Linked DNA regions of Cricetulus griseus. The protein of the gene in region 4 binds, or shares a complex with, the protein of the main gene of each other region. Links are inferred from orthologs where the notes say so. Each region holds a gene or a part of one and is shown on either strand. Other genes may lie near its edges.

Region 1 (3,938 bases), on a different chromosome or scaffold from region 4:
CAGCTCAAGAGGAAAGAAAGTTGAACTACTTGAAGTCATTTCAAACTCTTGGATACCTCTTTGATGAACCAGTAGTCTGGCAGCATGCCAGATTTTAGAAGATTTCAAATATTCTAATTTTCGATTCCCCCCCCCCCCATGAGAACCTATTTGCCTCTCACTCTTGGTTAAGAAAATCCGCGTGCTGTATTTCCACCTTGGAACACCATAATGACGGCATCCGGACAGTGACAGTTCGCTGAGGTTCCAGTAATCCTGTTACCCCTGTGTAAAGGTGTGAGGTGTGAATAATTCCATCGCCTGCTCCTCCCCTCCCCGCACACCCCTGCGTAGTTCTCTCCTAAGCCGGGAGAGCTGCCGTCCTATTAACCTTCTTGGGCACGAACTGGAAACCTCCGTAATCTACACAGCGGCTGGAAGGAGGCCTCTGTGGCAGGACGACGCTTTCCGAAAGCCCGTGGGTCGGAGACCTCTAGAGCTCTGCAGCCGAGAGCGAGGCTGCTTCGCAAAGAATCCCAGACTTTTCAGTCTGCTTTACCCGAGCTGCGGCGGAGGGCTGGGAGGGAAGCCCGGGGCCGGGGCCGGGGCCGCCCGAGCCGCGCAGGGGGTGGGTGCAGCGCCGCGGGGGGGGGGGGGGCGCTCACACGCTCCGCGCCGTCGGGGACGGACCAGGCCCGGCCCGGGCGGACCCCGGCGGCGCCCGGCCCCCACCCGGACAGCGCGTTACCTGCAGCAGGTGCAGCTGGGCCACGAGGCGCCGCGGCAGGCGGAGGAAGCAGTCCCGAGCGTTCGTGAAGGCCACCGTCACGACCGCCCCGCCCGAGCCCGCAGCCGCCGAGCGATCGCCGCTCCACATCGTCCCGGCCCCGCTCCCCCGAGCCCGCCCGCTTCCCGCGCAGGTCGCGGCGTCCGCCGGAGCCCGGGGCTGGCGCTCGATCGGCCGCTCGATCGGCCCCGCCCCCTCGTCGCCGGCCCCGCCGGCGTCACCCTCCCGTCGCTCCTCCGAGACGCGAGGGGGCGGCACACGGAGGACCGAGTTCGCGCTCCCAGGAAACGATCGTCGATGGCGTCGATTGCCCGGCCAATCCAAGCACGCGCCAGCCACCCTGCCCTCTCATTGGCCACGGAGGAGGAGGAGCGCGTCCGGCGGATGTTGTTGTGGCGCTGGGGGTCGCCGCTGGCAGCATGGCGTCCAGTGACGGGAAGCCGGGGAGCGTTTTCGATCACCACGTGCAGACGGCCGTGTGTGACTCGCGGGCCAGGTACCGGGAGGGCCGACGCCCTCGCGCCGTCAAGGTAGGGCGGCTGCGGTTTCCTCGCGTTCCCAGGCCCCCGGGCGGGGGCGGCCTTGGTGAGGAGGGCCTGACGGGGACGCCGCCACAGAGGGGTCTCTCCCCGCGGGAGGCCCCGGGACCGACCGGAGGTCAGCGCTGCGCTCCTCGCCGCTCCGCGCCGTCGAGCTGACAGGAGCGCTTCCTCAGCGCGCGCACTGGCGCCCGCTGACTGGGGTAGCCAGGCGCCCTCAGGGGGCCTGTGTTAGCCGTTAGCCGGGAGCGACAGTTCTGCGTGTGTGTTTACAGGCGGAATTGACCAGAGTATTTCTTCTTGCTTTCAAAGCTCCTTTTTTTCTTCTTCTTCTTCTTCTTCTTTTCTTCTTCTTTTTTTCTTCTTCTTCTTCTTCTTTTCTTCTTCTTCTTCTTCTTCTTGCTTTCAAAGCTCCTTTTTTTCTTCTTCTTCTTCTTCTTTTCTTCTTCTTTTTTTCTTCTTCTTCTTTTCTTCTTCTTCTTCTTCTTCTTCTTCTTCTTCTTCTTCTTCTTCTTCTTCTTCTTCTTCTTCTTCTTCTTCTTCTTCTTCTTCTTCTTCTTCTTCTTCTTCTTCTTCTTCTTCTTCTTCTTCTTCTTCTTCTTCTTCTTCTTCTTCTTCTTCTTCCTTCTTCTTCTTCTTCTTCTTCTTCTTCTTCTTCTTCTTTCTTTCTTCTTCTTCTTCTTCTTCTTCTTCTTCTTCTTCCTTCTTCTTCCTTCTTCTTCCTTCTTCTTCTTCTTCTTCTTCCTTCTTCTTCTTCCTCCTCCTCCTCCTCCTCCTCCTCCTCCTCCTCCTCCTCCTCCTCCTCCTCCTCCTCCCAGAGCGACAGATTTGCCATAGGCTTGCTTGTCTGCGAGGTACATTTATTGATTGAGGGTTTTTTGTTGTTGTTGTTTTTTAGGTATACACAATCAATTTGGAATCCCAGTACTTATTAATACAGGGAGTCCCTGCAGTGGGAGCCATGAAGGAATTAGTCGAGCGATTTGCTCTATACGGTGCGATTGAACAGTATAACGCTCTAGATGAATACCCAGCAGAAGATTTTACAGAAGTTTATCTCATCAAGTTTGTGAAATTACAAAGTGCAAGGTGTGTACAAATTAAGCAGTAGCTATACCCTGTGTTCCTGTTGCTGTCATTTCGGCCCTGGGGTTTTCCCAGACATATCCATGTCACACAAACACTCATCACCCTAGATCTTCCCGTTTGTTTGTTTGTTTGTTTTTGTTTGTTTTAGAGGGTCGTGACAGGGTCTCTGCATAGCTCTGGCTGCCCTGGAGCTCACTCTGTGGAACCAGGCGGGCCTCAAGCTGAGAGAGCCTGCTTCTGCATCTCCAATGCTGGGATTAAAGGTGTTTATCACCACCAGAGGTCCTGAGTTCAATTCCCAGCAACCACATGGAGGTTCACAACCACCTTGAATGAGATCTGGTTCCCTCTGCTGGCATGCAGGCACATGACTGTATACATAATAAATAAATAAAATCTTTAAAATTTTTTTTAAAAGGCTGACTTTACAAATACAAAGCTGTTTCCATCGTCTCATATCTGTGCTTCACAGTTTTTGAACCAGTAGTACGGTAGATTCAGAATTACATTTGAAGCAAATTTCCAGCCCTATGTCCTCATTACTTGGTAGTGTTTTAAATCCTGATAAGCACATTTTTCTTCTTCTTAAAATCCACACAGCAAAAAGGTCTGCTTCTTGAGGTTCCCTGACTGTGGATGAAATGAAATAATTTATGTACTCCCTATTAGGAGTAAATATTAGCAATGGCAGTTCTTATTGTTAAAGTTCTATGCTAATCACCTTCTTTTTAATACTTACATATGACATAATTCTTGTATTCCAATAAGGTGAAGTCAACAATGCTTTATTTTGGGGGGAAGGAGTGTGAGTGTGTGTGTGTGGGGGGGGCTAGAGGTCAATGTTGATTGCCTTCTTCAGTGTTCCAACTTTTATTTATTTATTTATTTGAGACAAGTTTTAATGTGTAGTCCTGGCTAGCCTAGAACTAGCTAGGTAGACCAGGCTAAACTTAAAACTTAAAATTTAAATTTCCTTCTGACTCTACTAGGTTTAAAGGCATGTGCCACCACACTGCGCTCTGTTTTATTCATTTATTTATTTGAGACAGGATCTCTCACTGAATTTGGAGCTCATCAGCTAGACTGGTTGACTGTCAAGTACCAGTGATCCTTGTACCTCGCCCTTGCCAGCACCAGGATTGTAGGCATACAGCAGTGCCCAGCTTTTATGTGGATGCCAGGGATTCCAACCTAGGCACTGAGCTTATGCAAGTGCTTTTGTGACTGAGCACTCTCCCTAGTTCATGTCAGCCATTTTTTTTTCTTTTTAATTAGTAACCTGATTTAAAGTGTATCTTTGTCTGACTTTTGCTATTGATGTAACTTCATAGTAGAAAACGGCTTCAGATTCCCTGGAGCTGGAGTACAGGGGGTTGTGAGCCACCCAAGGTAGGTGATGGGATTTGAATCTGCTCTTCTGCAAGATCAGCAAGTGCTCTTATCACCAAACCATCTCTCCAGCCCCTCATATTTCTTTTATATGCTACTTAGCCCACCACTAAAGCATTTGACTTCAAAGGGCTGTGTGCCTTTCTCTCCAGTTG
Region 2 (2,364 bases), on a different chromosome or scaffold from region 4:
AGAAATCCTTCAGCCTCTGCCTCCTGGGTGCTGGGATTAGAGGTGTGTGCCACTCCCAGCGACTCATTGCTTTTTTGGTGTTCCTTCAGTAACTTAAAACACACCAACGAATGCCCTATTAGATGGTAAGCAACTTCCCATGCTCTGCACGGTTTTTCTCTGGATTCCGTAAAATCTTTTCTCAAATGTCATCATCGCAATATCTTAGCATTACAAGCATAGTATTTAAAATTGCGAATTCTTCAAGCTTCCTCAATCTCCCTGCATCATCTAGCCCTGGTCTATTTTAGCCTTTCTCCAAATTGGCATAATGTATGCCCCCAAACCTTTGGAAAACGCTCTGGTGAACACTGAATGAAAAAAAAAAATCCGTTCTTCATTTCTGAAGACACACAGACTAACTCTCAAGAAAAACAGATGCAACGTGCAACATCTTGAGACCTTGGTCCACAGCACCCTCCCCAGACCCCACCCAAGGAACACAGCAATCCACACCAAAAGATAGGACAAATCCTAAACTTTATAAACATGGCAAGAAGGACAACCAACTACTGAAAGGCAGACTCATTAGAAACGCGTCATCACTCCCGTGGCGTCTTCTCCCTCGCTTGCCGGGTCTAGGGTCGCTCCTCCCGCACAGTTCCCGGGGGTCCCGACAGTCTCTCGGTGACTTGTTCGGAATCGTCCACAGGTAAGCAGGCCAGGCGTGACAGACGATGAAGAAGCCCGAGCAAGGAGGACCGGCCCACCGCTGGCCGGCGGGGGAGCCTGGGAAGCGCTCGCCTCAGTTCTCCTCGGGCTTGTCCGCCGGCGGCCCGCTGGGCTGCAGCATCTTCTCCATCAGGTTGAAGCGCACGCGGGCCTTGCTCTCGTTCTCGGCGATGGCGAAGTAGTTGAGGAGGTCGAAGTGACCCATGTAGGAGCAGTAGGAGTCCCGGTGCTGGTTCACAAGCCATTCCCACTTGGTGGTGTCGGCGTGGCCCGTACCGATGTACTTGGACTGCAGATGCTCCAGCTGGCTGTGGATGGTGTACCGGTCCGTCATCTCGCCGCTCCGCTCTAGGCTTCCAGATCAGGCCGCAGACCCGACGCTACCCGCTCCGCGTTCAAACCTGAGAGACGCCGCCGCCGCCGCTGCCGGCCCGACACGGAACTTCTATCTGTGTAGGCGCGGGAGAAAGACGCCACTGTGGCGCCTGCGCAGACGCTCTTCTCCCAGGCGGAAGCGGAAGTGAATCCTGCCGCGGCATTGGAGTTGCCTAAGAAACATTGGGCCGTCCCCTCAGCGAGCCCGCCTACTTGGAGAGCGTTGCATGATGGTCTGCTGAGTGGCTCTTGGGTGATCACGTTCTAACTCCGGCGTTGCATTCTGGGATTTGTAGTCCAAAGAATTTGGCGTGTTTTTTTCTTTTGGTTTGGTTTTTTGTTTTCTTTTTCTTTCTCTCTCTCTCTCTCTTTCTTTCTTTCTTTCTTTCTTTCTTTCTTTCTTTCTTTCTTTCTTTCTTTCTTTCTTTCTTTCTTTCTTTCTTTCTTTCTTTCTTTCTTTCTTTCTTTCTCCTCCCTCCCTCCCTCCTTTCCTTCCTTCCTTCCTTCCTTTTTTTTCTTCTTTTTTTTTTTTGCCTGACTAATGTAGGATGGTGTCCAACGATTACGACTACAAGTGACCAGGAAAACTATCTCTTGTACCTAGAAGCTCACACGGACCGCCCTTGGTCCCAGCTTTGTCCCTTAGGATCTGGGTAGTGGGAAAAGTTCTTTGGGTCCTAAATGCTTGGTGATGAGTGTCAACACCAGGTGTCTTCCACATCAAAATCCAGGCTCCAACTCCTCACACCACCCAGGGGCCCGAGCCCTCCAACCAAACAACCTCCTAACTTTAAGGCTGCTTACAATCATTTTCTGGAAGTCAGTTGTGTCTCAAGACAAGTACTCTCTCCTTCTGTTTTTCTGCCTGGTTACACCTTATGTTCAACTTAGAGGTTATGTATCTCCTCACAAAGGTATAAACTACTTGAGAAAAAGATACTGTACTTCTTTTCTGATATCCTTTGAGGATATTATATAGCTTGATGGAGATCGTATTCTTTAAAAGAAAAATCTGATGAATGGACAAAGAGCAATCTCAGTCAAAGAGACTGATAATAGGGGAGGGCCCAACCTATTACAGTGGGGACACCCCTGGGCTGGTAGTCCTGAATTGAATAAGAAAACAGACTGAGAAAGCCACGAAGAGTAAGCCATTAAGCAGCACCCCTCCATGGCCTCTGCATTGGCTCCTGCCTTCAGGTTCCTGCCCTGCCTACCTTAGATGATGAACTGTGATACGGAAGAGTAAATGAAATAAATCTTTCATCCCTGAGTTGC
Region 3 (3,240 bases), on a different chromosome or scaffold from region 4:
ACCCCCTATCCTGGTGGCAAGTGTGCCTCAGAGTTACTGTCCATATTTCCTGAGTGAGTAGCTTTTCCAAGGTTGCTCTTAGTTAGATGCAAGGAAAGGAAAGGATTGTTCTAGAAGGCTATGGTAAGCGGCTGCTTTGCTTAAGCTATACGGAGGAGATCCTGTGATCGTGTTGAGAACAAAGAAAGGCATTCTGAATGGAAAAATATGCACCGGATTGAACATTAACCCCATATTTATTACATAATCACTGTTCATTCGAATGTTGTTGTTTGCTACCACCTGCATGTCCAGTCACAATTCTTGGTAGTGGGCAGTCAATCGTATGTGGTCCCAGCTTTTAGGAATGTTACCATGTAAGAAGAGAAAAGTTAAGTCTGGGAGGGAGAGGGAGAAGGGACTTACATGTGAAACTAGCTTGTTCCCTAACTAGAACTAATAAATAAATTAAAAAAAAAAAAAGTTAAGTCTATGGCAGTCACACACCATAAAAAGTCTCTTACTCCAAGTAAAGCAAAATTAGAAGAATTTTAATACAGAGAAATCACACCCAAGAAGGAAAAGAGGAAGACAGCATTGTAAAATACCACAAACTGATGGTAGAATGAGCTCCACCCCTTAGGAGTATTGGATGTTTATAGTGCTTAAGTCCTGAGTATGTCCAGCTACACTCACTGGACATTTTTGAGACAACCCAGCAGCTAATCAGAATCACCCTTTGCTTCATTTCCCCTGTTCTAAAAAAGAAAGCAAGTTCTAAACAATGGGTTAAAATAGGCTTCTAGAACACAACCCATAAAAGCTAGAGGTTTTGTTTTTCGATTCATCTCCAAAATTTGTGTTCACAAGTTAGTTTGTAAAAACTGTCATCTAAGTTTTCAGGATACATCATCCACAATTTTTTGTCTTTTTTTTTTTTGTATATATGTGTGTTAAACAAAACTATAGCTTAATGCTCTTGGTAGCATTTACCTAGTCCCTTGTATACATCACGTTTTGCTGAGGGAAGTTCGAGAGCAGTCTTTACTTTGGTGTTATATGCTCAAGACAGGATATCGTCTCTGCTATAAAAAGCACCTTCCTCAAGAAAAAGAACGATACTATTTCTGTACCATCTTACCATTGGAAAGTTAATATAGCGAAGCAGTCTTCCACTTCGCCAAGAGATAATACATGTCAACATAGGGAGGGTACAGAAATGCTGCTGAAAGATGAAAATTCCTAGTCATTTTGAGAGGACTTAACTGGTCAGCTACTTGTCCTTGTCTTTTAAAAAATAATAATATTTTTTTATTCTCTCTTTGAAATTTCAGGTTCTTGAATGTATAAAGCTCAGTGAAGAAACCACTACGTCATCTAGTAGAATTTTTGTCAAAATATTTTTCCAGGAATTGTGTGAATACATGGGTCTTCCTAAACTGAATGCAAGGTTAAAGGACGAGTAAGTTGACTATTAACAGTTTAAATTTAGTCTTCTCGTCTGTGGGCGTGCCCATGTTAGCAGAGACAGTTGTCCCCTTCACAGTGGAAAGCCCTCTAGGAATTTGGGTAACATCAGCAGCATGCTGCACGTTACAGGGCATGTGACAATAGGCACTGTTCGGGGTCTGCTTCTAGGGCTGTTACATAACCCTTTTATTCAGATTCCTAATCATCAGTAAGACTGGCTCTTATTCCATTCTATTAATGCTACGTGTTATCCCAGTGTTTCATTTCTCTGTCTTGCTTAAACGTTTCCGAAAGACCTGCATTGCGTCTGCAGCTTTCTCTGACCTAGTCCTTCACTCTTTGGTTTCATATGATAGGTACTTTATCAGGCTCATCCCCCTCCTCAGTAGTCTAAACTCTAGTCTCCTCAGTATCACTAAACTTGGGATGCTGCTGCTTGTTCGTGCTTCTTTACCACCTCAACTACAAAAGCAGTGACCCTCTTTTAGTCTGTCTTACAAATGCTTAGTCATCTTCCTATAATTTTCCCTTTTTATGAAACACTCATTGCCTAATCCCTACTCCTTCCCAGTACTTTTATATGATTTAGATTGCATACTTATACTAACGCCTTTAATTTTTTCTGTGCATGTGCACAAAATATATTTGTGCATATATCCATGTACAAAAGTGTATATGCCATCTTTATACTCTGTGTGCATCTAGTGTCTATATAAAAAATTTCTAAATCTGTATTGTATAATTAGAGAAATCAAATCTAAGGGCCAATGAGATGTCTCAGTAGGTAAAGGACACCAAGTCTGAAATGAGTTGGATCCCTGACACACACATGGTGAAAGGAGAGAACTAACTCCTTCATGTTGTTCTCTTACCTGTGTACACATATACACTAAACTGTAAAGAAATATTTTTTATACAGAAATGAACTTCATTGAACTGTTCCTTGTTACTGATTATATTTAGGTAGCCTAACCTGTATTATGTTTAGGTAGCCTAACATGTAATCGCATAAAGCACTTTTTGATACTTAACTTACTAGTTTAATATATAGAAAATCTGGTAAGTGGGTATAGAAGTTTTTATTTTTCTCTATTTTTTTCATTCATTTTTTCTTTTCAGAACTCTACAGCCATTCTTTGAAGGACTGTTACCTCGAGATAACCCACGGAATACCCGCTTTGCCATCAACTTCTTCACTTCCATAGGTCTTGGAGGTTTAACGTAAGGGTCATTTACAGAATTTTAGGTTTAGCTGGAAAAATTATCTTGCAAGTACCCTAGAGTCATAATGTAACAATACATTGTATTTCTGTTAGGGATGAACTGCGAGAGCATCTGAAAAATACACCCAAGGTAATTGTAGCACAGAAACCCGAAGGCGAGCAAAAGAAACCGCCTCTGACCTCTTCGTCTTCAGCATCCTCCTCGGAGTCCGATTCCTCAGAGTCCGACTCTGACAGCAGCGAGAGCAGCTCAGACTCTTCCAGTGAAGGGAGCGACTCCTCATCCTCCAGCAGTCAGAGCTCTGCCTCAGGTATCCAGGCTCCTCTAGACTTTAGCCTGCATGTTTCTAACAAGTCATAGTGTTTGTAATAAGGGCCAGTCTTAGTGTTCATAATGAGGGCTGGTCTCAATTGCTGCTTATTTATTTTGGCCATCTATTCAAAACATATTTGTTAATAGAGATGATCGTCTGTCACTCACACAGTCTGCAGTGGGTTATATCTATGTTTTAGAAGCCTCATAAACAAAGCTGTGGTTCAAGTGATGCCTGAAGTATCATTCATGTCT
Region 4 (3,500 bases):
AGAGCACTCTTCTCCTAGCCTCATACCTCCTCCTTCCTTTTTTTTTTTGTTTTTTTTGTTTTTTTGAGACAGGGGTTCTCTGTGGCTTTTGGAGGTTGTTCTGGAACTTGCTCTGTAGACCAGGCTGGCCTCGAACTCACAGAGATCAGCCTGCCTCTGCCTCCCCAGTGCTGGGGTTAAAGGCCTGCACCACCAATGCCCGGCTTATACCTTCCTCTATCATATCACTTATCTTTAATTAAATGATGGGTCAGTGGCTCCCCTCCCTCTGCATTCCCCATAGCCAATGTTTTGTTTTTGCTGTTGAGTTGGGGGGGTGGGTCTTACCATGTTGCCCGGGCTGGTTTCAAATATTTGGCTTTAAGCCACACTACTTTCTCATCTCATATATAGCCAGAGCTACTGGATAGTGCCACTGTGCACAGTACTTCTTTATTTTTCTTTATAAAATGTATCATATTTTCAGAATTTGATTTATTGTATGTCTTGACAACTACATCATAAGCCCTAACAGAGACTTTCTATTTTATTAGTTCCTTATCCTCAGCATCTAAAATAACAGAATAGGTCCTTTAAAAACTTTTAAGGCATATTTATTTGTATTTCATGTGTATGACTTCATGTGTATGCATATATGTATGTGCACCATGGCTCTTTACTGCCGAGCTCTCTCTCCAGCCTCTATAATAGGTTCTTTGTAAATACTTGTTGAGCTGGGTATGGTGGTGCACGCCTTTAATCCCAGCATTTAAGAGGCAGAGGCAGGCTGATCTCTGAGTTTGAGGCCAGCCTGGCCTGGTTGACATAGAGAGTTCCAGGACAGCCAGAGCTACATAGTGAGATCCTGTCTCCAACAAACAAAAACACTGGGGGAGTGGAGTACTAGAGCAATGGCTCAGAAGAGCACTTGTTGCTCTTGTAGACCCTGGGTTGAAGCCCCAGTACCCACATGGTACACATCCACCATGCCTCCAGTTCCAGGGCATCCAGTGCCCTCTTCTGACCTCCACTGAAACCAGGCACACACATAGTGTTCAAGAGCCAGGGGTGTAGGAAGTCACCTCATGAGTGCCAGCAAATACTGCAAACAGGGTCATCACAAAGCCTGACTCCCTTCTCCTGCCTGACCAATAGGTGCCAGAGGAAGCCAACTATGAGGCAGTCCCTGTGGAGGCCTATGGGCTGGCCATGTTGCGGGGCATGGGATGGAAACCTGGCAAGGGCATCGGCAATACTTTCAGTCAGTGAGTTTTCTGGGGGATTTGGGGGGTGGACAATGGGTATAAATAAGACCCCTGTGGTTACATTTAATCTAAAACCATCCAGGTGGTGAGGGAGGACATTGTCACCCTCACCAGTTCAGTAGTCACTCACTACTGTTTCAAACCCCGATTTTCACAGAGCCTTAGGTTCAAGCCTGTTATTGCAAAAGAATAAACCAAAAAGCAAACAACCTCAGATTTGCCTTCAAAACAGTAAGAAGATCCCACTTAAAGTTTCCTCATTGTGGATCAATTTACTCATCTGAAAAATGCAAATGGTAGTGCTGCCTTCACAGGTTTGTTGCAAGAGTTAAATGAAACTATACTCATGAGGCACACATGGTGGGGTTTAGTCCCTAGTAAGCAGAAACTAAACATGCTTACTCTTACTTCATAGACTTATAATCCCTTTGTTATGCTGGTGTGTAGCCCAGTGATAGAGGCTTGCCTAGCATGTAAAAGGCCCAGAGTTCCATCCCTAGGACTGAAAAACAAAATCCCTTTTCAGTTGTAAATCCTCAAAGAATTCTGAAGTCATTTGGTAGCCAAATATGACTATAATTGGTATTGAGCATTCAGAACTATTCCCCTTGCTCTGTATACTTACCATATGATTTCTTCTGTAGAAATGTTACCATATTTGTTTATATGAACCTAACTTGGCACTTGTAGATAGGATGGGATAGATAGTACATGCAACAAGTTAATTCACTTGAATCAAATGCAATTGCTTTTTGAGGGTGCTGAAAATGTAGCTCATTGGTAGAGGTGCTTATCATGCATTGAGGCCTTGGATTCCCCCCCTAACACAAGAAAAGAAAAGTTGGCATTTTGATAGCTCAGTGAGTTCTAATGTGATATCAGAAAGGGTAATCTAAATATAGATGTGGGGCTGGTGAGCTGCTGGATGGGTGAAGGCCTTTGCCTGTAATCCTGATAACCTCAGAATTCACATGGTAGAAAGAGAATAGACTCTCATACGTTGTCCTCTGATTTTCACATGTGTGTCATGGTGTACAAGCATACACAAATAAATAAAAATATAAAACTAAGGATTTCTGCGGTGTGTTTGAGTGCTGGCAGGAAAGTGTTGAAGACTTGTACTCCCACAAACCTGTGTTCTTCTCTGCAGAGTCGTGAAGCCCCGGGTCAACTCTCTAAGGCCAAAAGGCTTAGGACTGGGTGCCAACCTGATGGAGGCCAAGGCCTTGGCCTCCACTAGCTCTCATCACCCACCAAGACCAGATGGGGATCGAGAGAAGGATAAGGAAGGGTTGATGCCTGGAGGAGCTGTGGTGATCCTTTCTGGCCCTTTCCGGGGCCTCTATGGGAAGGTAAAAACAAACATATCCCTGAAACCATGGCAGGTAGCAGGGAAGATTAATTGGAGGGGCAGAGTGAGGAAGAGTTGTGGATAGAAAGGCTGCCAGTCAAGTCAGGTATCATGGGACATGCCTGTGATCCCAACCCTCCAGAAACTGAGGCAGGAAGATCACAAATTCAAGACCTGCCTGGATTACATAATAAGTGCAAAAGCAGCCTAGTAACTTTCTGAAGTAAAATAAAAATTTTCAAAGGATAGAGATTTGGCCCAGTAGTCAGAGGCACCTAACAGGAGAAACTAAAATCGTGAGAAAGAAGCAGGCCTATAATACTAGCACTTAGACTGAAGCAGAAGAATTTCCAAGAGTTCAAGGCCAACCTGGGATACATAACAAGAACCTTTTCCAAAAATAAATAAAAACACACAACCAATCACAATACAGAGTTGTGAAGCCCAGTCCCAATAGATACATGTACAAAACATTTCTGAACCCAAAGCTCAGACCATTGCAGAAAAGGAGGCAGAAAGATTGTAAGAACAAAGGATTGAGCAGGAAATTGCTGTGAGGTTGTTGTCTCTTAGCAATATCAGAAGCTACACCCATAAAGTCTCACCAACATGACTGCCCAAACGTGAACTGATCAAGGATGACACCAATGAACATGCCAGACTGGAAGGAGAAAAACCTGTGAGGTCTCAATCCCACACAAAGAACTGAGGAAAGCTGGGAATGGGGAGAGGTGGTCTTCCCCAGGGAGAAGCACACCAGTTGGTTGTTGAGTGCCAAACAGCCCTGAAAACACATACAGGTAGCGTTATATGGACTGAACAGGGTATATTTAGGGATATATATGTATATAAAATACATATATGTATGCAATAATAATTGGTAAAAAGGAGGCTATGAGCAAGGT
Region 5 (3,500 bases), on a different chromosome or scaffold from region 4:
ACTGGAACTATCTCTTACAGTCTCAGTTCTGAAGCTCTTCCTAGTTAGCCTGTTTGTTCCACCACACATTGCCATTTCTCCCACCACACATTGCCATTTCTCCCTCTGCTTCCTGTGCAGACCTTGACTTTTTTTTTTGCTTGTGACAGTATGAAATAATTGCATGCTTGTCTCTCTTTAAGATTGTACAATAACTTGAGCATGTCATTGCTTTTTCTCTTTTTATGACCAGAACCTGTCTCACGATGTATATCCAACAAAACAGTAGGGTATCGCAGCTAGTTTGAAGTGACTACTCTATGTCTTATAGATGCTGCTTTTGATGCTCTCAATATCTTATTTGTTAAGGGCTCGATCCATATACGAGCGTGCTTTAGATGTAGACTATCGGAATATTACACTCTGGCTGAAATATGCAGAAATGGAAATGAAGAACCGCCAAGTCAACCATGCCCGAAATATCTGGGACCGAGCCATAACAACTCTGCCACGAGTCAACCAGTTCTGGTAAGCCTCTGGTTGTACAAAGCAGCCTTTGGTGAATTAGAAAATTATACCACTTACTGTATATTATGGTTTTATGTGCAGTTATAATAATTTTATATATTGAACTTTACATTCTACTTTTCCTTAAAATAGTGTATTTAATGTCACATTATCTGTGAGTCATAATCCTGATGCTCCATAGCTATGTAAGTAAAACTTAAATGTAAACAGAGCACTGGAGATGTCAAAGATTACTTTTTCCTCTAAGTCATTTTGACCACAGCAGGCATCTTTGGATGATTCTGTATCAGGTACAAATACACGTACATGGAGGAGATGTTGGGCAATGTTGCGGGTGCCCGGCAGGTGTTTGAGCGCTGGATGGAATGGCAGCCTGAGGAGCAGGCCTGGCACTCCTATATCAACTTCGAGCTGAGATACAAAGAGGTGGAGCGGGCCCGCACCATTTATGAACGCTATATCCTTTGAATGAGGTATAAGTGGTATGTGGTTGTCATGGAGGTCTACCTCCCAAAAAAAGATGTCACGGTCAAGACATGTTGCCATTAAGGTGACACTGAAGGTCAAGAAGGCAAGTTTCATCACTTTCACAATTTCTTGTAGGGATAGAAATTGTTCAAATAAAAATCTGTGGTCTGGGTGATTTGAGTCTTTCCAGTTACATGGGTTCAGTTTTGGGTTTTGTTTTTTGTCTTGTTTTTTGTTTGTTTGTTTGTTTTTGCACTAAATCCTAGCTGCTAGAACCAATGGCCTATGATTAACAAAGGCACTGTTAATGGAGGTCAGCCAGAGATTCATTGCTTACTAGTAAGTGACTCCAGGGTCATTTAGTTCCTTGATCCTTTGTGTCCTTTATATATAAGAAAAATTAAAACTAAACATGGTAAAGCTTAGTGTATACTCATTGCTGGGGCACTTGCCTAGTATATTTTGAGGCCTCAAGTTTAGGCCGCAGCATTATAGAAAATACAACAGCCAGTTGTGGCAGACGGCTGTTAACAACTAGAAGATGGTGTTTGTGAAAGCACTGTTAGAAAGAGCTCTGTAATCCTCATCACCTAAAGGCACCTTATTTGCAAATCGACACACTTGTTAAATTTTATTTGGAATCTCCAAATTAATAATTACAATGCTTTAGCAGCCATTTGTAAACATGTATAGGACAGTGAACATTTTGTGTCCCTCAGCATGCAGTTCCTAGCTGACGTCCATTTCAGGTAGGGTGTGTGTGTGTGCGCCCAAGTGTTAAGGCAGGAAGAAGCTTTCTCCCTCTCTGAAGCCAGTAGGATAGGATTCTGACCTCTGTAGTGGGACAACCTGAGCCTAGTTGTCTGATGCTCATGAATAGATGGCTTAGTTGATACAGTGCTTGATGCACAGCATAAAGACCTGTGTTTGGATCCCTAGCACCCACATAAAAAGCTGGGCTCAGTAACACACATCTATAATTCCAGTACTGAGCAGATGGAGACAGGAGGATCACTAGGGTTGTTAGGCCAGTCAGTCTAGCTGAATAGGTAAGCTGGCTCAGTGAGAGGCTCTGTCTCAAAAAATAAGTTACAGAGCAACTGAATAAGATAAGTGATTTCAGCCTCTGACCTCTTACACTCATGCACATATGTGCATGTGTGCACACACATAGGATGTACAGTTTTTAGAATTTAAAACTATGGGCCGTGGGAGGTATGTCCACATCCCTCCTAGGATCGGTGGTTTGGCATTCAGTAATTGAGAGTTCTTACTGGCTTTACAGAACAGGTACAAATGAGAGCCTTATTGTGCAACATTAAGATCTTTTGTTTTGTTTTGTTTTGTTTTTGAGACAGGGTTTCTCTGTGTAGCTTTTGGAGCCTATCCTGGCACTCGCTCTGGAGACCAGGCTAGCCTCGAACTCACAGAGATCCACCTGGCTCTACCTCCCCAGTGCTGGGATTAAAGGCGTGTGCCATCAATACCTGGCTGCAACATTAATATCTTAAGTTGTCTTATTTGATAGTGGCTTCACAGAGGCTTGAGAAGCACTTGGTTTGTAGCAGACGATATTCTAAACACTTAGTAGTGCCAGTACTTATGAAAACCCTGCAGTACAGCAACTGCTTCATTCTACAGGTAAGGAAACTGAGACATGAATGAGTAAATAAAGTAAGTTGACTATGGTCTCAGGTGGTGATGTTGAAAATGACCCAGGAAATCAGCCTCAGAACTGATGCTCTTAACATCTTTGGTACATCTGAATGTATTAATCACTGGACATTATTGGCTTCTTCAAGGAAGGTTGATGTGCCCTGGTAGTTAAATGGCAAGTGAAAACTTTCTCCTTAGCTTTGGATATCAGCTTTCTTTTTGTGGCAGACTGTTCTACTCACTATGGGTAGACTGCTGTTATTGAGCATTTAATGTAATAGGTGCTTTTTATTGACCATGTTCTTTTGGCCAGAAAGAGCTAAGTTTCATAAACATTGCCTCATTTTATAGAGGCAGCAGTGACGGGTGAGGTTGGTACAATTTTTCACTTTAACACACTAAAAAACTGAGACGGATGACTTGCTGAAGATCACATGGCTTATAACCAGGTTGAGGGTTTTCTTTGACTTCAGGCTTCTGTGTGTACCCACTGCAGAGTCAGCACTGAAGGCAGAGCAGAATGAGTAACATAACCCTGACCTCAGAGGCTGGGGGGTGGTGGTTAGACTCCTTGGTATGTGCCCCCTCCACTTGTATTTTGATTGTTGGGGTTTGGGAGCTTAGTGTGGTTTGGGGCCTATTGTTTGGGCACTGAGCCTTTGTAGAAGCTGTGCATGGGCTCTAGCACTGAGCTCACCTCAGCCTCCATTATTGGCTTAGCTGTGGTGTCTTGCCTGCTTTCCTTCACTCCCCTGCACTCGTGCTGGTGCACCCTGCTGTGAAGAACTGGATCAAGTATGCCCGATTTGAAGAGAAGCATGCTTACTTTGCCCATGCAAGGAAAGTCTACGAGAGAGCAGTTGAGTTCT
Region 6 (4,021 bases), on a different chromosome or scaffold from region 4:
GCAAGCCTTCTCCTCCTCCACATCCCACGCCCTGGAGGGGAGACAAAATTTTCATTGGTTTCCTATTAATTGTAAAGTTAAAGCTACAAATTCCTGCAAATCTTCATGACCCCCAGGTTATCTCGTACCATAACCCCCTTCAAGTGCTCTCTCAGCATACTGGCTCTTCGTGCCTCTTAGTCATCTTCCCAAATGATAGGGCACTACTGCACACGCTGTTCTGTGAAGAACGTTCTGCCTTCTTCCTCTCTTCCCCGAATTAGAACTGTCCGATCAAACGGCAACAGCTCAGGCATCTTTTCCTCTGAAAATCCTTCAAGCTCATTAGTTACTCACAGCATGAGGCATCGCTCTCTTCGCTAGTCTTCCAATCAACTGGTGAGATTAGTTTAAAATGTTTCCCACACACACCCCAAGAGACACTAAAGCCCTGAAGTTAGAGAACATGTTTCTTCAGTGTCCTCCAACGCTCTGCACGATAAACGCCACTTGGATCGCTTATGAGAAGGCCTGGTACACAAGCATGGACCTTAGATTTCTCAACAAAATTATGCTTTGGAGGAACCATCGGATACTTCCTCCATCACTGTCTGTCTGGGGGCATAAATTAAGCCCTTAAAAAAAGACGGTTGAACCAATGGTATAAACTAAGTCCGCCTCCTCAGCCAAACCCGGCACTGAAGCCGGGAGGCCGGGAGTCGGGCATCACGCTAGTACAGCGCTGGAAGCAAAAGCGGCGTTGTGCAGAGCAGCTAGCTGTCAAGGGACAGCGGCCTTAGGGTTCCAGTCCTGCGGTCAGAGATCCCAAAGCTCCGCTCTAGCCTGCCAAGGGACTACTCTTTCCAGAACGCTCCCCTACCCCCACGGCAGGACCGTCAGCCGAGAATGCTAGGCTCGGGCCCATCACCTAGTCGCAGATTAGAACAGCTACCGTCCTCGTTCCCCGCACACTTACTCCGCGCCAGCTCCTAGCCTGGCAGCCTCTTCATCGCCAAGAACGCCTAACCTGCTCCGCTCGTTCCCAACCCACAATGCACAGCGCGCCTAGGGGGGACGTCACTACACGCCCCAATCCCAGAGCTGAGCCCTCGTGGCGTCATCAAGAACGGACCAATCGCAAGAGCGCATTCAGAGGGCGTTGCAGAAGAGAATGTTGGGAGCCGATTGGTTGCTCCTCTCCGGAAGTTCTGGAGGAAGAACTCAGTTGGAGCCAATTGCGCGGCGGCTGCGGCCGGCGGCGCGGTCAGTGGCGGCGCCGAAGAGAGTGGCTACCGCCATGATCGAGCAGCCAAAACGCAAGGGCCCGGAGCTGCCACTGGTTCCTGTCAAGCGGCCGCGACATGAGTTGCTGTTGGGAGCCGCGGGGGCCGGCCCCGGAGCCGGACAGCCGCAGGCGACTCCGGGAGCTTTGCTGCAGGCGGTAAGTGGGGAGGCATCCCTTCTTCGGCCCTCCGCTCCTCTCCCAATAGACCTTCCCGGCGCTGCGGGAACGGAAAGACAGAGAAGCTGAAGTGAAAGCAGGCCTCTGTTTACATACGTGCCGTGTGTTCTGCGTCTGTTTCATACATGTGTCCCTGTCGGACGCCTGTTTCCAGCCTTTGAATCGCCCTGTGAAGTAGCAGTGAATCATTTAAAACCTTGGCCTCAAAAATCAGGATCCAAAGTTCCGCATCCTAAATCTTCAGGGATTCAGCATAAAATAAACATTCAGAAAAGTTTGTAGAGTGGACGAATGAATGAATGAATGAATGAATGAATGGGAAGGGAAGCAAGGGAAATGAATGATACAGGCTCTCTCTGCCATCTGGTACAATTTACTTTTCTCTTTTTCTGATTTTGCATTATTAACAGTAATTAATATCCGTTGGCTCGAGTGTTAGCTGTTTTGCATGAGAAATTTCCATTAATCTTGGTAACAGCCCGAAAGGAGCTGTTATTTTGCATATAGGGAAAGCAAACTTCTTTGAGTTAGAAGCTAAGCTCCTAATGGCATTTCTTGTAAAATAGTGATCATGCCCTCACTACTATGATATTAGTTTCAGATACGGAAATAAATGTGCCTCCTGTCCCAACTCTCAATTCTGCTGGTGTGGTCATTAAAATAAGTAAATAAAATTGGCAAGGGGTGTAGGGCTGTAGTTGCATCTTTTCAGAAGGCTGACAAGAAAATTTTGAGGGAAGGAGTTGGAGGCCAAGCCTGCAACTCTGGGTTGACAATCCTACTTGTCAAGTAAGAATAAGTGTACCACCAGTAATCCTGAAATGTCTTTGGTAGATTCCGGTGTACTAACTTACTTTTTAACACAGCAAGGTCGCTGACTCAAAAATAAGTAAATAAAAAGCTGGACACACACAAATTTACACTCAAGCTGCTGAACAGGAGGGTCAAGGGTTCCAAGCCAGTGTAGGCTATTATAGCAAAACTCTTTTGTTGAACGGAAGAGAACTGTTTACCTGAAATCCTTACCTCCTAGTCAAACTTTTATGTCATCTGGCATCATTGCAGGTGGGGCTTAATTAGTATTTCTGGTTTTGCCTTTGAATCAAGGATCAATTATTAGTCTGGTAGCCAGGAGAATCACCACAACATTAAATCACATGATTCTCTGCTGAAAATATTGTGTTGGCTATTTCATTCCAAATTAAAGAAAAATCAAATTCTGTGTAATAACCCCTTTTCTATGCTCATGTACCCGTTTTCTAGCATGTCATCCTTCTCAAATAACACCAGCCTGTGTGCTGTTAATTCTGTTGCTGTTGTTGCATATGCTGGAATATTACTCCAAATGCCCACATGTTTAACTACTGGTTCTTTCAAATCTTGGTTCAGATGCCTGTTTTCAGTGGGCTCTCCTGGCCACTGTATTTTAAGTTAAAGTACCCTGTACTCTGGTACTCATATTTTTTTCCATTGCATGCAACACTAGGTGTTCTGCTTGTTTTTTGTTTTGTTTCCTTTCCCATTCTCTCACTCACTTTCCACCAGAATGCACAGTTCATTGTTTTATTGAGTGCTGTTTCCCCAGTGCCTAGATATATTAGGTTTATTTTTATCCGTATGTCTGTATGTATGTGTGAGTACCCTCATAGGCCAGAAGAGATTGTTGAATCCTCTGAACCTAGGGCTACAGGCACTTGAAAGCTGCCTAGTGTGGTACTGGGAACTGAATTCGGGACCTCTGGAAGAGCAGTAAGTGCTCTCTAACTACTGGGCCATCTCTGTGGTACACATGTGTTATTTTCAATAATTACACTAGATAAATATGCTCATGGTACATTATTTACATTACTTTTCATAGTTAATACATGATAATAAATATAAGTTAGTACACTGGAACCTACCAAAGAGATTTCAGGACTATTTTTGGTAGTACACTTATTTGCCAAGTAACACTGTCAGCCCAGGGTTGGAAGACTTGCCAAACAGGCTTAGCGTCCAAGACCCTAATCAGAAACTGCTTTGCCAAACCAAGCATAGCAATTCACACTTGTATTATTACCAGCACTCAGGAGGACTGAAAATTTAAGACCAGCCTGAGCTACTTATCAAAGCGCTGCTCATACCCCTAAAATCTATTTTGCATAGTAAGTTGTACTATGCAGGGTTTTTCAAAGGCTAGGTGGGTGAACTAGTCTGAGAAATGTTGTTCCTGCACTCCCAGAGCTTCATTTATTTGGGGAAAAAGAAGCATGTCAGCAATGACATGAGGAAGGAAACTTGAGGCAGCACTAAACCTAATGGAATACTGGTGGGGAGATGGCTGCTACTTAAGTTTGACTGTTAAAGAAAGACTCTGGGGAGGAAATATTTAAAAGGAGCCCAATAGCAGGAGAGCTCTGTGGGAGACATTTTTCCTTGTTAAGATCCTGAGGTATAAGTGAAGTCAGCATGATTAAGCAGTCAGAAGTTGGCTGTGGAACAAAAGCAGAGTTGGGGAGGAGAGTGGTATGGTGAGCATATGCTGGAATGTCCAAAGGTTTATCCAGTGAAAGGCAGGAGTTCTGTGAGCAGAGGTGCCAT
Region 7 (4,005 bases), on a different chromosome or scaffold from region 4:
ATGCTTGGATCATTTCAAAGTCCTGACAAGACTCCAAAAGATAACATACCACAGGCAAATCTCCATCTTCTTCCTCTTCCTTTTCCGGCTTAGTGGTAGAAATAGCTGCCCAGCCCACATCATCATCAACAATCCGCATTCTAGATGAGAACAATAAAAGCCTCAAAAAAGAACTCATTCTGGGACACAGGCCTATGTACACTTACCTATTGTTTTTTGGCATTTATTTATCGTGTGTGTATGTGTGACGGGGTGTGTGTGTGTGTGTGTGTCATAGAATACATATAGAAGTCAGAGGACAACTTGCAGGAGTCAGTTGTTTCCCTCCACCATGTGGGTTCAGAGGATTGAACTCAGCCTGTCAGGCTCGTTGGCAAGCATTGGGCCATCTCACCTTTTGGCTTTTAAAGTTCAAAAGTATGGCTCAGTCTTTGTGTATATGGACTCCTACTGTCAGTTCACTCCATCACTGTCCACCTTTTTGTTTTTTGGTTTTGGTTTTTGAAGACAGGTTTTCTCTATATAACAGCCCTGGCTATCCCGGAACTTGCTCCATAGACCAGGATGGCCTTGGACTCAGAGATCCACCTGCCTCTGCCTCCCAAGTGGCTTACACTTCCACATTGCTGTTCATCAGTGAAGGAACTCAAACAGGCAGGATCCTGGAGGCAGGAGCTAATGCAGAGACCATGATGGGTGCGACTTACTGGCTTGTTCCCCATGGCTTGCTCAGCCTGCTTTTTATAGAACCAGGACCACCAGCCCAGAGATGGTACCACCCACAATGGGCTGGGCCCTCCCACATTGATCACTAAATGAGAAAATGCCTAACTGCTGGATCTCATGGAGGCATTTCCTCAGTTGAGGCTCCTTCCTCTGATGACTCTAGCTTATGTCAAGTTGACACACAAATCCAGCCAGTACACCACCTAAGTTGCAATGGGTTTTGTAAGTAGCCTAGAGACAATTTAAAGAGGATATGAATAGTTTACCCACAAATACTGTATCATTGTGTGGAGGAACTTAAGTACCTGTGGACTTGAGTAACCAGTGTACCAACTGCTGAAAGATGATGGCATCCAATGGATGTGATCTGTGCTGCAAAGAGGTATTTGAAAAACCAGGAACACATGCTACATCTTTAATCACAACAGCCATTTCAGACAAACAGCAGTGTTCAGGACCACTAGGACTCCGAGTCTCAGAGAGGTGAACTCTCTTGCCCAAGATGACCCAGGCTATAAAGTAGCACTGCTAGGATTCAGATTCCAGTTAGTGCTGTTCCAAAGCTTAAACCATGTTCCCTGAATGGCATTGCTCCTTCTTAGAACCACACTGAGCTGGGCGTTGGTGGTACACACCTTTAATCCCAGCACTCCAGAGGCAGAGGCAGGCAGATCTCTGTGAGTTCGAGGCCAGTCTGGTCTACAAGAGCTAGTTCCAGGACAGCCTCCAAAAGCCACAGAGAAACCCTGTCTCGAAAAATTAAAAAAAAAAAAAAAAAAAAAGAACCACACTGAATTTACCACATACCTTAACTGAATATAGGCTCAACTAGTAACACCACAAAGATTGATGTCATGCTGAAGTCCCAAATGAAGGTAAATTTGGGCAAAGAGGGAATTAGGGAATTAGTCTACCCACTTCAATGGGCCACAGAATTTTCTCAGTAGAAATATGAGAATAATACTGTCAGCTCACGATGGTTCCCCCATAGAGGGGTGTGAACCACACTTTATATTCTCTAAGCTGCTAAGCTCTTAGCAAGCAGCAGACCCAAGGCATGGTGTATAAGAACGGGATTAGCTTCCAGAGTTTCGACCTTGTATCCAAAATAGTACCTTCTTAGCAAGCTGCTAAACTTAGGGTCGCTGCTCTAAAGTCTATAATTTCTTTTGTCCTGTGGGCTGATGTTGGATCTCCTATCCCAACCTTTCCAGATTCCAGTGGCCAAGTCACTGCATCCGAAATCTGTCTCAGCACATCCCTCTTTCGAACCTGGAAAGTATATTATTTAAAACAATGTCTACTTCACCACAATGTCCTGAAAGTTATATGGTCAAAGTTTTTAGAAAGAGGCCAGGCACATGATAGGAACTGTACCCATATTAGTTGTTACTGTTAGTAGTAGGCAAGAATAACAGGACTTAGATCTTTGGTTCCAGATCAGTTCCTAATACTTTGAAGGCCCCAGAAACAGATTTTTGAATTCTAACATTAAAAAAAAAAAACCGCAATCACTGGGGCTTTTAATTAGTTCTACTACTCTCAGGGCACGACTTTTCAATCTGTTCGAGGGACGATACAAGGCTACAAAGGCGGGAAAACAGTAAGGAAGTTCTAAGTTCTAGCTGGCCTTAACGCATGGAAGACACTGCTCAGAGGACGAGGTCTGAGCTGCAGGCGGCGGCGAAGAGCCGGCTCGGGAGCAGCGGGGCCGGGCCTGGGTCGGCAGCGCTCGCAGCGCCGCGCGGGCGGGGAGGAGGAAGAGCTGCGGCCGAGGGCGCAAAGGGGCAGCGCGATGCCCCATCAGTCCACTCACCCCTTGCCACCGGCGCCTCCTGGCTTCGGCCGTTTTCTGCGCCGCTTCCGAACCGACTCTGGACCTCCTTCCGGGCCAGCATCTGCTCCAGACAAGTAACGCTTCAGATACTCAGCCTTGGAGAGCGGCAGAGCTGCCGCCATGGCAGCGGCGAGGGCGGGGCAACGGCTCGGCGTTGGGGACAAAAATTCTTCTACGGGAAACGGATGGGGGTGGAGCCAGAAACGGAAGCCCTAGGAGTGGCCCTTATGGAGCTACTGGGGCTGATAGGTGTCATGACTCTTAAAAAATGTCTTTACAGGCTCGGTGTGGGGAAGGGGAGGTGCATGAATGCATCGTAGGGCCGTTCTGCTTTCCTGTGACGACACATCCGTGCAACGCTCTCAGCCGGGACTGTTCCAGCAAAGAGGTCACAGGCCGACTTAACTAGTCCTGCCCTGACGACTGCACCGGAGTAGGGAAGAACCGAAACTCAGGAGATCAGAGCACCTATTTGAATACGAGACCGATCGTAACTGTGCCACTGGGGGCAAGTTATTGAATAGCATTTTAATAACGGATGTTGTGCCAAATGCCTAGCACAATTAGTTTATTTCAGTTATTATTATCATTATTGAAGAAGAAGAAGAAGAAGAAGAAGAAGAAGAAGAAGAAGAAGAAGAAGAAGAAGAAGAAGAAGAAGAAGAAGAAGAAGAAGAAGAAAGAAGAAAGAATTTACAAAAGCAGGGACTTGGTGAAGCTGCCTGGTGGATACCCTTGAGGACTCATAGGTAGATGCCAACCCAGAGCAGGAGGAAGAGGACTCCCAAGCCCATTAAGAGTTAGGGCACCAAGGAGATGAGGAGCTCTTTATAAATAATTGTATGTACTTGGTGGAGGTGACCTTATAAACGAAGAACCAGGAAGTACCACGATCAGGTGTGGGAAGACAGCTGGATTGACCCAGCTGGTGTACCTACTGATGACCCCCAGCTCTTTTGCCCACAATAAACCACCAGTAGAACTATTTCGGTTATTTTTATTGGTATAAATACCTTTTGGTAGACAGTATACTGGAACAGTGCCATTTAGGGGAAGTCAAACAAATCCCACCCCCAATATTGTGACTGAAAAGTGGATTGGTCTCATCAAACCTGTATTGACCTTTCCACGTTTGGTATTATCTCTCAAGAAAATGGTATACAATCTTCCCAATAAAAATGACAAGGAATTGTTGTCAATGTGGCAAAGAAAAGAAAGCCAGGAAGATTCTATTTCTTATAGGGGGTTAAGTGTTTGGTGAATCTTCACTTGACCCCCACAATTCTGTTTCTTCTTCCATCAAGCACTGGGGATTGAACCCAGGGCCTTGCACATGATAAGGAAGAGTTCTGTAGCAGAACTACTTCCCCCACCCCTTTCTGAATTTTGGAGACATGACCTTGCTAAGTTGCCCAGGATGATCTTGAGTTTGTTATCCTTCT

The links.
Region 1: Gpkow (region 4) and Rbm48 share a complex: the UniProt entries of both Homo sapiens proteins name them as parts of the minor spliceosome. The link is inferred for Cricetulus griseus from reciprocal best matches to the Homo sapiens genes GPKOW and RBM48.
Region 2: Gpkow (region 4) and Sf3b5 share a complex: the UniProt entries of both Homo sapiens proteins name them as parts of the minor spliceosome. The link is inferred for Cricetulus griseus from reciprocal best matches to the Homo sapiens genes GPKOW and SF3B5.
Region 3: Gpkow (region 4) and Cwc22 share a complex: the UniProt entries of both Homo sapiens proteins name them as parts of the minor spliceosome. The link is inferred for Cricetulus griseus from reciprocal best matches to the Homo sapiens genes GPKOW and CWC22.
Region 5: Gpkow (region 4) and Crnkl1 share a complex: the UniProt entries of both Homo sapiens proteins name them as parts of the minor spliceosome. The link is inferred for Cricetulus griseus from reciprocal best matches to the Homo sapiens genes GPKOW and CRNKL1.
Region 6: Gpkow (region 4) and Snrnp40 share a complex: the UniProt entries of both Homo sapiens proteins name them as parts of the minor spliceosome. The link is inferred for Cricetulus griseus from reciprocal best matches to the Homo sapiens genes GPKOW and SNRNP40.
Region 7: Gpkow (region 4) and Bud13 share a complex: the UniProt entries of both Homo sapiens proteins name them as parts of the minor spliceosome. The link is inferred for Cricetulus griseus from reciprocal best matches to the Homo sapiens genes GPKOW and BUD13.

What each region holds. Positions count from the first base shown.
Region 1 is NW_023276806.1:221,965,166-221,969,103, reverse strand, and holds the start of Rbm48 (RNA-binding protein 48), read left to right. Parts: upstream 1-1,138; 5' UTR 1,139-1,185; coding exon 1,186-1,296; intron 1,297-2,203; coding exon 2,204-2,394; intron 2,395-3,938. Other genes in the region: Pex1 (peroxisome biogenesis factor 1), read right to left, coding at 728-856. UniProt on the Homo sapiens protein: As a component of the minor spliceosome, involved in the splicing of U12-type introns in pre-mRNAs.
Region 2 is NC_048595.1:275,868,412-275,870,775, forward strand, and holds Sf3b5 (splicing factor 3B subunit 5), read right to left. Parts: upstream 1,195-2,364; 5' UTR 1,046-1,194; coding exon 785-1,045; 3' UTR 501-784; downstream 1-500. UniProt on the Homo sapiens protein: Component of the 17S U2 SnRNP complex of the spliceosome, a large ribonucleoprotein complex that removes introns from transcribed pre-mRNAs.
Region 3 is NC_048599.1:97,174,846-97,178,085, forward strand, and holds part of Cwc22 (pre-mRNA-splicing factor CWC22 homolog), read left to right. Parts: intron 1-1,313; coding exon 1,314-1,441; coding exon of another isoform or gene 1,442-1,445; intron 1,446-2,568; coding exon 2,569-2,670; intron 2,671-2,765; coding exon 2,766-2,983; intron 2,984-3,240. UniProt on the Homo sapiens protein: Required for pre-mRNA splicing as component of the spliceosome. As a component of the minor spliceosome, involved in the splicing of U12-type introns in pre-mRNAs. Promotes exon-junction complex (EJC) assembly.
Region 4 is NC_048604.1:114,163,366-114,166,865, forward strand, and holds part of Gpkow (G-patch domain and KOW motifs-containing protein), read left to right. Parts: intron 1-1,134; coding exon 1,135-1,244; intron 1,245-2,394; coding exon 2,395-2,596; intron 2,597-3,500. UniProt on the Homo sapiens protein: RNA-binding protein involved in pre-mRNA splicing. As a component of the minor spliceosome, involved in the splicing of U12-type introns in pre-mRNAs.
Region 5 is NC_048599.1:33,085,796-33,089,295, forward strand, and holds part of Crnkl1 (crooked neck-like protein 1), read left to right. Parts: intron 1-348; coding exon 349-507; intron 508-797; coding exon 798-964; intron 965-3,389; coding exon 3,390-3,500. UniProt on the Homo sapiens protein: Involved in pre-mRNA splicing process. As a component of the minor spliceosome, involved in the splicing of U12-type introns in pre-mRNAs.
Region 6 is NC_048595.1:22,689,899-22,693,919, reverse strand, and holds the start of Snrnp40 (U5 small nuclear ribonucleoprotein 40 kDa protein), read left to right. Parts: upstream 1-1,221; 5' UTR 1,222-1,276; coding exon 1,277-1,420; intron 1,421-4,021. UniProt on the Homo sapiens protein: Required for pre-mRNA splicing as component of the activated spliceosome. Component of the U5 small nuclear ribonucleoprotein (snRNP) complex and the U4/U6-U5 tri-snRNP complex, building blocks of the spliceosome.
Region 7 is NC_048597.1:158,021,263-158,025,267, reverse strand, and holds the start of Bud13 (BUD13 homolog), read right to left. Parts: upstream 2,801-4,005; 5' UTR 2,686-2,800; coding exon 2,543-2,685; intron 141-2,542; coding exon 50-140; intron 1-49. UniProt on the Homo sapiens protein: Involved in pre-mRNA splicing as component of the activated spliceosome. As a component of the minor spliceosome, involved in the splicing of U12-type introns in pre-mRNAs.